Saccharomyces cerevisiae S288C: one gene and its partner. Each later gene encodes a partner of the first gene's protein in a complex. Each region holds a gene or a part of one and is shown in the gene's direction. Other genes may lie near its edges.

Region 1 (5,619 bases):
TTGGTCTTACCGGCCAAGGAGATGTTTTCCATGAAATCGAAGGGGTTTTCGACCTTGTAGTATTTCTTGTTACCGAAAGCAACCAACAGTCTGTCGGCGACGAACTCAACGTATTGGTTCATTAAGTCAGCGTTCATACCTAGCAAAGCAACTGGTAAGGCGTCCAAGAAGTATCTTTGTTCAATTTCCACAGCCTCGGTGACAATTTTTTCAACAATGGCTGGGTCTGGTTTGTTCTTCAAATGGGCGAACAACAAGCATGCAAAGTCGGTGTGCAAACCTTCGTCTCTACAGATCAATTCGTTGGAAAAGGTTAAACCGGGCATCATACCTCTCTTTTTCAACCAGAAAATGGAGGCAAAGGAACCGGAGAAAAAGACACCTTCAATGGAGGCAAAGGCAACTAGTCTTTCACCAAACAAGGCGTCAGCGTCTTGAATCCATCTTAAAGCCCATTCGGCCTTCTCACCGATTTCTGGGATGGTGTGAATGGCATTGAACAAGAATTCACTTTCTTTAGGGTCCTTGATGTAAGTATCGATCAACAAGGAGTAAGTTTCAGAGTGAATATTTTCAATCATGATTTGGAAACCGTAGAAACTCTTTGCCTCTGGAATTTGGACTTCGGTGGAGAAGTTTTCAACCAAGTTTTCATTAACAATACCGTCAGAAGCGGCGAAAAAGGCAAGAACTCTGGAAATGAAAAATCTCTCGTTTTCGTTCATTCTGTTGTTCCAGTCATGGATATCCTTAGACAAATCAATTTCTTCAGCGGTCCAGAAAGAAGCTTCGGCACGCTTGTAGGCTTGCCAGATTTCATGGTACTTGATAGGGAAAAGAACAGTTCTCTCCTTGTCTTCATTCAACAAAGGTTCCTCCTTTTCCATTTCCTTAAGTTTGTGACGGTGAACTTGATGAGATTTCAAGTAAGCCTTGTGATTTTCAGCGTCCTTGCTCAATTTCTCCTTAAGCATGTCTGACTTTACTCTGTTTTCCTCTCTCAATGTCTCCAATTCCTTGTTAAGGTTGGACTTGGAATCTTTGATTTCCAAGTCGGACAATGCATCGGCAGCAGCTTTGGAAGGGGTCTCTTTAGGCATGGTAATTGGACAAATAAATACGTGTATTAAGTTTGGATTCTTTGGTAGATAGCCAATCGAGGGAACAATTAAAAAAAAGAAAGAAATAAAAGACAAGAAGAAGAGCGAAAAAGGGGAAAGTGATGAGGAAAAGAACAATAGATAGATCCAGAAGATGATGGTAACGCGCAAACACTACCGCTATATATACCTACAAAACTCTCATTCTCTCATTTCCTGCTTCGTTCATTTCGAGTTTCCAAGGGTATGGTACGGTGCTATCTGCCCGTGCTTCCCCTCCTTTGCTTTGCTAAGAAAAATTTTCTTTTGTCAGCAGCAACAACACGCTACGCTCTGCGCTGTGCTACGAAGTGGTCTCTGTGGCAACGGGGACATTGTACCCATGCCCGCTCGCAGGGAGGTCTGGGTGTGGGGCGTGTGCGACCTCGTTGCCATGGCGATCGCGCGTGGGTGTGGTCTTTCCCCAAACGGTTGCCCGTTGCTCCGGATTTCGCATAGTTGTCGCGTAAACAAAAAACACGAGAGAGGGCGGACGGCGCTGAATAGTGGAAGATCGCGCGATGTCAAGTAAATAAGCTTGTATTTGTATTTGTATGTGTTTATGTGTTTGTGTGGTTGAGAATTTTATTTTCCTCCTAGTTTTTTCTTTTTTGAGTGCGGAGGGGCAGTGCTCTAAACTTTGCCTGCTTCTTGTTCGACTTCGGCTTCCTATGCAGAACGCAAAATCGCGTGCGCGAGGAACGAGGAAGACAACGCTTTAGATTGGCTTTTTCGTCGCCCATGCCCGTTGCGATAGCGATATGATGAGAAATCGATAAAAGGTTGCACCAGTACACCGCACTTTCTGGCGTGCTTGGATCTGGCTTGCGCGGCCTCGTGCCAGTAAGTAGAAAAGTAGTAATATGGCATGGCGAAAGAGAACAAAACAAGCAAAGCAAGCGTAATGCACAGCTGTGGCTAAAAAAAGAGCACAGAGGTGAAGGGAAAAAAAGATAAAGAAATTAAGGAGGTTGAGAGGGCTTGTGTGTCGATGCTTGGTGAGGCGGGACGTAACGGTTTTTTGTCTGTAGGCACTTCTACCCCACAGGGCCATGAATCTGGCCCGAAACCGTTGCGAGCGTGCCAATTGGTGGTGATATCTTTTTTCTTCCCTTTTTTTTTGTTTTCCGTTCTGTTATGTTCCTTCATCTTGAATTCACTAAAGGGAACAGAAGAAAAAGTTGGATATTAGATAAGCGGTACTTTTCTACAGGTCTAGTATTATTCCTCGGTTGGAACAAGAAATAGTGCTTCAGTAGCTCAGTAGGAAGAGCGTCAGTCTCATAATCTGAAGGTCGAGAGTTCGAACCTCCCCTGGAGCATATTTTTATACGTATATCTTTTTTCCCTCTATTTTGTTTTTTTTTTCTTTGTTTTTTCGTAGCTAGTAAAGAAGAGAAGGAGACCTAAAGTGTATATATACTTAATCTGCGATCATTGAAAAGTCGCTAGCTTATTGTCACTTACTGCATTTTCACAACATCTTCCATTTTTGTTTTCTCAGAAGGACAATGCTGGAAGGTACGGTAGATTATGACCCGCTGGAAGATATTACCAATATACTTTTTTCAAAAGAATCCCTGAACAACATAGATGAACTGATCAGTATTACCAGAAGCTACAAAAAGCAATTGCAAGAGGATATTCTCAAAGAAGAGAATGAATTGAAGGAACACCCTAAAAATTCCGCTGAAATAGAGGCTTCTCTGAGGAAAGTTTTCCAAGATTTCAAAGAAACTCAAGATGTCTCAGCCTCCACCGAGTTGACGATATCGAATCTGACAGAAGGTATCTCGTACCTGGACATTGCCAAGAAAAACCTCACCCACTCTTTGACTCTTTTCCAAAATTTAAAGATATTGACAGACAGTTACATACAATGCAATGAATTACTCTCACAGGGCTCATTCAAAAAAATGGTGTCCCCTTATAAGATAATGTGTTCGCTTGCTGAAAACACATTCATCTCTTACAAATCATTGGACGAGATAAACTATTTGTTGAGCTCCATTTCAAGACTGAAAGGAGACACTTTGTCCAAAATTAAACAAAACTACAATGCGCTCTTTTCCGGCGGCAATATCTCAGAGCATGATACAGCACTCACTATGGAATTGCGCGAAGGTGCCTGCGAGCTACTCGACTGCGATACAAGTACGAGAGCCCAGATGATAGATTGGTGTTTGGACAAACTTCTCTTCGAAATGAAAGAGATATTTAGGGTCGACGATGAAGCCGGATCCCTAGAAAATTTATCGAGAAGATACATTTACTTCAAAAAAATTCTTAATAACTTCAATTCAAAGTTCGCAGACTATTTCTTAAAAGACTGGGAAATGGCAGTCAGATTGACCACCACTTTTTATCACATTACACACAAGGACCTTCAGACACTTCTGAAAAGGGAATTCAAAGACAAGAACCCTTCCATTGATCTATTCATGACAGCATTACAATCGACGCTAGATTTCGAAAAATACATCGACGTACGATTTTCAAAAAAAATTAAGGAACCAAAACTAAGTTCCTGCTTCGAACCTTATTTGACTTTATGGGTGTCTCACCAAAACCAAATGATGGAAAAGAAATTTCTTTCTTATATGAGTGAGCCGAAGTACCCATCTAATGAAACAGAATCTCTCGTGTTACCCTCGAGTGCAGACCTTTTCAGGACATATCGTTCCGTACTGACTCAGACCTTAGAGCTCATTGATAATAATGCCAATGATAGCATATTGACTTCATTGGCAAATTTTTTCAGTAGATGGCTTCAAACTTACTCACAAAAAATTCTTCTTCCTTTACTGCTGCCCGACAATATTGAAGTCCAGGATAAGCTAGAAGCTGCCAAGTATACCGTTTTATTGATCAATACTGCAGATTATTGTGCCACGACTATAGATCAATTGGAGGATAAATTATCTGAATTCAGCGGTAATCGTGAAAAGCTGGCAAACAGTTTTACGAAAACGAAAAATATATACGACGATTTACTAGCAAAAGGAACTTCTTTTCTATTAAACCGTGTCATACCCTTAGATCTAAATTTTGTATGGAGAGAGTTTATCAACAATGATTGGTCAAATGCTGCGATAGAAGATTATAGCAGGTACATGGTAACCCTCAAATCCGTACTTAAAATGCCCGCATTAACAGATGCCTCTATTAAACAACAGCAAGAGCAACCTTCGACTTTGGCATTTATTTTGTCGCAATTCAATAGAGATGTTTATAAGTGGAATTTCTTGGATAAGGTGATTGATATCATCACTACAAATTTTGTAAGCAATACCATCCGCCTTCTGCAGCCCGTTCCACCCTTTTCCCTGGCGGGCAGCAAAAGGAAATTTGAAACCAGAACTGTTGTCAACATTGGCGAGCAGCTTCTCCTTGATTTAGAATTGCTGAAGGAGATTTTTCACACTTTACCAGAAAGTGTAAGTAACGATTCTGACTTGCGAGAAAATACCTCTTATAAGAGGGTGAAAAGACATGCAGACAATAATATAGACCAGCTGCTGAAGTTTATTAAACTTCTAATGGCTCCTCTGGATTCCGCTGATGACTATTACGAGACCTACTCCAAATTGACCAATAATAACCCTGATTCAGCGGTATGGTCTTTTGTCCTCGCTTTAAAGGGCATTCCATGGGACCTGGCATTATGGAAAAAGCTATGGAGTGCCTACAACTTAGAAACAGACGACACTGACGAGGGCAGCAGGCCAGACAGTAATCGCGATCTTTTCATATTCAAGTGGGACAAGGTACTTTTGGGTCAATTTGAAAACAACTTGGCAAGGATGCAAGATCCGAATTGGTCAAAATTTGTGAGGCAAGATCTGAAAATATCACCACCTGTTATGAAGAGGATAGTATCCACCCCTCAAATACAACAACAAAAAGAAGAACAAAAAAAGCAAAGTTTGAGTGTCAAAGACTTCGTTTCTCACTCAAGGTTCTTTAACAGAGGCACTTGAAAAAACGCATGAAGTGGTTTACAGAGGAAGTACGTAGTATAGTATAATATAGTTCATAAATCTATATTCTTTCTAAACATCGAAAACGAGATTTTTTTGGACTTCCGTCTTTTTTTTTTTTTTTGACTTGAATTCTATTAATATTTATAGCTGACCTGCGCACCAACTTTATGATCGTTGGTAGAGAATGTTTTGAATTGAACTACTTCACCATCAGGTATCTCTTTACTATTGGAGTCGGCCCATTCTAACGGAACTTTAGCATCCGCGTCTGTATATGCAAGTACTGTGAATGTGTACCCACCTTCTTTTGTTAGTTCGGGCAGAAAGGTAACGCTTGAGGTGATTTGCCTGATTAAAGCTCTGATTTGTGATTGTGTTGTATTTAAATCTACAACATCATCCTGCCCGTTGCTATTGCCAGAAATGTGTTGCACATTGAAGGACCATCTTTCCACCACCTCTCCCTCATCCTTGTCTACAATACATAATACTAATTG
Region 2 (5,371 bases), on another chromosome or scaffold:
AATCTGATAATGGCGAATTTAATGGGTATGGTAATGCTGTGTCACATAACGTCAATACCTCCAGAGGCTATGATTACATATACGATTATAACTCGGTCTACACTGGTGATACTTCCAGTTTTTTACCAGTAGATTCATGTGACATTGTAGATGTTCCTGAAGGAATGGACTTACAAACAGCCATTGCAGATGATAATGCATCAAACTATGAATTTAACAATGCGGTAGAATCCAAGGAAAAACATGTTCCACAACTACACAAAGCTTCAGCAAATAATACAACACGTCAACATGGATCGCATATGTTATTATATGACGACGACAATTACAGCTCTTCATCAGATAGCGAACAGCAATTTATTGAAGACTCACAATACAATAGTAGCGACGACGAAGAGGAAGAAGATGACGATGACCAAGAAGTAGACGATAACCACGATGAAGGACTTTCACTGAGGAGAACATTGTCACTTGGGAAATCAGGATCTACCAATTCTTTGTACGATCTAGCACAACCATCACTCTCTTCGGCAACTCCTCAACAAAAAAATCCTACTAATTTTACAGGGGGTAAAACTGATGTAGACAAAGATGCACAACTGGCTGTCAGGCCGTATCCGTTGAAGCGCAATTCCTCTTCAGGGAACTTCATATTCAATTCAGATAGTGAAGAAGAGAGTAGCAGCGAGGAGGAACAAAGACCATTACCCGCTAACAGTCAGCTGGTTAATCGAAGCGTATTGAAAGGCAGTGTGACACCAGCAAACATATCATCTCAGAAGAAAAAAGCCCTTCCAAAGCAGCCAAAAGCGTCCGATAGTTCACAAAGCTTTAGAATTGTAAATAATACTCCTTCACCAGCCGAAGTGGGGGCGAGTGATGTTGCCATAGAGGGTTATTTCTCTCCTAGAAATGAATCTATCAAGTCTGTTGTTTCCGGGGGAAATATGATGGACCATCAAGATCACTCAGAAATGGACACTTTGGCAAAAGGATTTGAAAACTGCCATATAAATAATGCTAGTAAGCTAAAGGACAAGAAAGTTGATAGCGTGCAAACCACTAGAAAAGAAGCGTCTTTGACGGATTCGAGTAATGAAAGCTTACACAAAGTGGTGCAGAATGCAAGAGGTATGGCAAGCAAGTACTTGCACTCTTGGAAAAAGAGTGACGTCAAGCCACAAGAAAATGGAAATGACAGCAGTTAGAAGAAAGAATTTTGAAGTCAACATGAAGAGAAAATAAAAATCCAGGTAGTGTGGATCAGTGCCGTCTTTAGGATCCAAGTAAGCTGTAATCGACTGGCATTGTCAAGGACAAATGTAGACAGCGAAGCAGTTATTTTACGTACACAATTAAATTCGCTCCAGATTTCAAAACTTCTTTATACCTTTACAATATTTGGTACTTATGTACAAGAACTTCTTGAGCTTCCATAGTCGTATGTGTGTTCTATATATTAGCAATTAAACGCAGCTGATCTAAGATATGTTCGTGGGTAATGATTTTCAGATAGAGTACAATCAATGTTTTCTTCGATCTTTAAAGGGTTTTTCCTTTATAAAGAAGACACCACACAACAGTCTAGAAAGTAAACAAAACAAACTACGACACGGCTTGTTTTAGGCACAACTTTGTTTTAGGCAGAGCTTACAGTAATTGGCAGTATTGATATCCTAAAGCAGTATTAAAACAATTTAAAGGTTTGGTGAGGTATCTGGCCAATGTCAATAAGCGAAACACCTCATAATAAAAGCCAGGGACTGCAAAAAGCGGCTGGTCGTCCTAAAATTGTTGTTCCTGAGGGATCGCCTTCTCGTAATAGTGATAGTGGCTCTTTTACTATAGAGGGTGATACTTCCCTTAATGACGACTTGTTAAGTATATCTGGCAGTGTCACACCAAGAGCGAGAAGATCTTCGAGATTAAGTCTGGATTCAATAACGCCGCGAAGAAGTTTTGATTCTAGGACACTATCTGTTGCAAATAGTAGATCATTCGGTTTTGAAAATGAAACACATAGTGGGTCCATGGACTTTTCGCCATTGGGAAATAACTCCATCTATGAAATTGTGATGAACACAAGGAGGAAAAACTGGCTCAATTACCCCACTGTTGCTGATATTCCACAAGTTAGCCTAAGCAAAAATGATCTGGATGACCATTGGAAAACTCATGTTATCGAATACGTCAAAAACATTAAAAGTGATTACCAAATATTTCAAAGCACAAATAATATAAGAAACATGAATCAGATGGAACAGTTAAAAGAACTGCGAGAAGGGGAAAATATGCATGAGGAGTCGTTTGAAGCAAATCTGAGGCAAGGGGATGCCGAGCTAATAAATAGTATACCTGACTTTTACTTTTCAGACAAATTTCAATTAGATAACCCTCGAACTTTTCATAAAGTGTTGGACGCTATCGATTTATTTTTAACGAAACTAGACATGAAGAGACAAGCGGAAAGGGATGAGGCTTTTTCTGAGTTGAGGGACAGGCTAAACGATTTTTTGGATATCGTAGAAACATTACTGGTTACAGAGATATCCAAATCCTCACACAAATTTTTTCATGCGCTAAGTGAAGTTGACAATATTCAGAAAAGAGCCTTGGACACAATGAGCGAGCTTAAGGAGCTAGCACAGAATATCAAGACCATTGACGCAGAGAATATAAGAAAAAAAATTTCACATTTAGAAATGATTTTTAAGAGGAAGAATGTAGAGAAACTAGAACAGGGATTATTACAGGCGAAGTTAGTGCTGAACAAAACAGATGAGTGTAAGTCAATGTATGAGGAGAACAAGTTGGATAACTGCTTAGAGCTGATAAAATCCATCGATTATCTGATTAAGGGGGATGATTCAATAAACGAAGATGTTCAGAGTTGGACTAGGTGTTGGCCCTATAAATTAAGCAATTTGAGGACGATACCTGCTTTGTCAGCAACGAGAGAGTTTTTAACCAATATGAAGATTGAAATAGGAGGAAAGTTCAGCCTACAATTATCGATTTTACTAATAGATGATTTAAGATCCTTTTGCAAATCAATCAAACCAAAGGAAACACTACATAGGATACAAACGGGATCTAATGATAAAAAGCAAACTATATTTACTGATAATTTTTCTTCAAAGATAACCGAATTAATAGTCAGATTGAATAGATGCGAAGAATTAACGAGTGCCTTTGACCTATACAGGGAAAAATCTATCACTGAGCTTAAATCTATCATAAAAATTTATTTGCCAACAGAGAATGCACACGCTGACAATAACCACGATGAAAAACATCTTAACAATGGCTCTACTAGTGGGTCTAAACTTTCAAGATTAATAAAGGAGCAAACTCCTGCAGAATTTCAGTCCATGCTAGTAAACATATTCACGCACGCGCTCGAAGCTCTTCGAAGACTTTATGGGCATCAAAAGTTGCTTCTAGATATCTCTCTTAACGAGCTAGCATCTGTTAAAAGTCCAAACGAAAACCAGCACAACATGATTACGCAATTGGATATACGTACTGGCATCAACGAAATAATCAGAATTATTCAGTTACGTACAGGCAAGATCATTGCCGTAAGAAGAGAATTGAACTTATCTCTACGGTATGATTATTTCTTGAAATTTTATGCTATATGCGTTATTTTTATTCAAGAATGTGAAGTATTAAGTGGTGAATTTTTAACGAAATATTTAAGTAATGTTTTAGCATCTCAGATCAAGCATTATGCAAACGCACAAAGTTCAAAAAATTACCGCAACATAAAGAAAAAGATTGATGCTGAAGAATGGATTCCATATATTGTGGACTCCTCTATTCAGAGCGATGTTAACGACATTGTGTCAAGTATAGACATAGACCCATTGAGTTGGACAACTATTTTAGACATGGTAGGGGGTTCTCATGATTGCGAAAATGGCAGAAGCGAGGACAAGGAAAAAGATGAAGGAAATGAAACATATCAAGGTCATAGGAAATCGGTTGTTGTTGGCGATAAAACTTTTGTGGCCAGTAGTTCTCTGCTCGCTACCATTGAGGTTATTAAGGAGCTAATGGTTCTTTCCATAAACCTTCCCTCGATATACTTATCAAATTTCGAGAAGTTGTGCTATGACGCACTACAATACTACAACAGTAGCGCCATGGCATCTGTCACACAACCTGGAAACTCACTTTTAAAAACGGGTAGAAACTTATCTATCATGGGAGAGTCATTGGACTGTCTCGCAGAATTTGTGATTATTGTTCAGAGATTTTATCAAAGGCTTTCCAACTCTAACAGGGATTTTGAGCCATTCGATGCGAGTCATTATACAACCCTGTTGGGGCAATTCCAGGCCTCATCGAATAAAATATACATGGCCAATGCCCCACCTCCGCCTGTATAAACATGATAAAGAAAAATTAGATTTCAAGCTATGTACCATTATTTACTTTTTAAACTAATGAATCATCGATGTTATATTCTCTAAGAAATTCCGCTTTTTTTTTAGAACATTATCTACGTATTATTTTTCCAAACATGAGCGGTGAAGAAATGATCAAACAATGAAGATCGAGCGAGGTCAGAGCTTTCCAAATGCGATAGGAAAGGACTTTTTCCAGCAGCTATGAAAATGTACTTCAAGTATCTCGTCAGTTGCTTTACAACTCATCTCCTGTAATTTCCAACATAGCATCGTTCACGACACAGTTGGCGCTGAACAAATTTTGTGCATAGAGCAAGCAGCCGTTTCTTGTCTGCGTCAAGAAGAAAGATAAAGGTAGAATGGACAGCGTGTCAAACCTTAAGAGCACAAATTTTCAGAACAATAATGACCCAAAAGAATCTGTAGAAGAAGCAGTGCTAAGGTATGTGGGAGTCGACTTGAAGAATCATATTAAAAAGACAAAGAAGAAATTGAAGAAACAGAAGAAGAGAAAGCATGGTTCAAAAATGTCTCATGAAGATGAAGACACTGATATGGATTGGTATTTGAAAACATCGGGTTCAAAAGATTTACGTAAAGTGGATGATATCGAACCAAATTCTGTTGCTGTAGCAGCTGTTGCTGCCGCATACAACAGCTCAATGAGAGAAAAAGATAAGAGGAGCTGTCATAAAAAATCTTCTAATAGTAGATCAGAGAGGAAGAAGCACCGTAAAAGAAAAAGCTCTAAAGAAAGAAAAGCCAAAATAAAAATGGTCCTAGATCCGCAGCTGACTACACTGGACGATGGCATAACGACAACAGCATTTTTACCTGATGATCTCATTGCTGAAACAGCTTTTGATAAGTATGTTGATACTGAAAAGGCATACCTAGCTAAACATCCAAGTAAATCGTTAGAAGTTAATGAGGATGATAAAGAAAACAACTTTAAT

Evidence for each region.
Region 2: VPS53 (region 1) and VPS54 share a complex: the UniProt entries of both Saccharomyces cerevisiae proteins name them as parts of the golgi-associated retrograde protein (GARP) complex.

The regions. Positions count from the first base shown.
Region 1 is NC_001142.9:387,885-393,503, reverse strand, and holds VPS53 (Vps53p), read left to right. Parts: upstream 1-2,650; coding exon 2,651-5,119; downstream 5,120-5,619. Other genes in the region: ribonucleotide-diphosphate reductase subunit RNR2, read right to left, coding at 1-1,100; YJL027C (uncharacterized protein), read left to right, coding at 1,255-1,671; YJL028W (uncharacterized protein), read right to left, coding at 1,858-2,193; spindle checkpoint protein MAD2, read right to left, coding at 5,257-5,619. UniProt on the Saccharomyces cerevisiae protein: Involved in retrograde transport from early and late endosomes to late Golgi by linking the vesicle through the t-SNARE TGL1 to the Golgi, leading to the membrane fusion between late Golgi and endosomal vesicles.
Region 2 is NC_001136.10:493,672-499,042, reverse strand, and holds VPS54 (Vps54p), read left to right. Parts: upstream 1-1,724; coding exon 1,725-4,394; downstream 4,395-5,371. Other genes in the region: protein phosphatase regulator REG1, read left to right, coding at 1-1,208; NSI1 (Nsi1p), read left to right, coding at 4,775-5,371. UniProt on the Saccharomyces cerevisiae protein: Involved in retrograde transport from early and late endosomes to late Golgi by linking the vesicle through the t-SNARE TGL1 to the Golgi, leading to the membrane fusion between late Golgi and endosomal vesicles.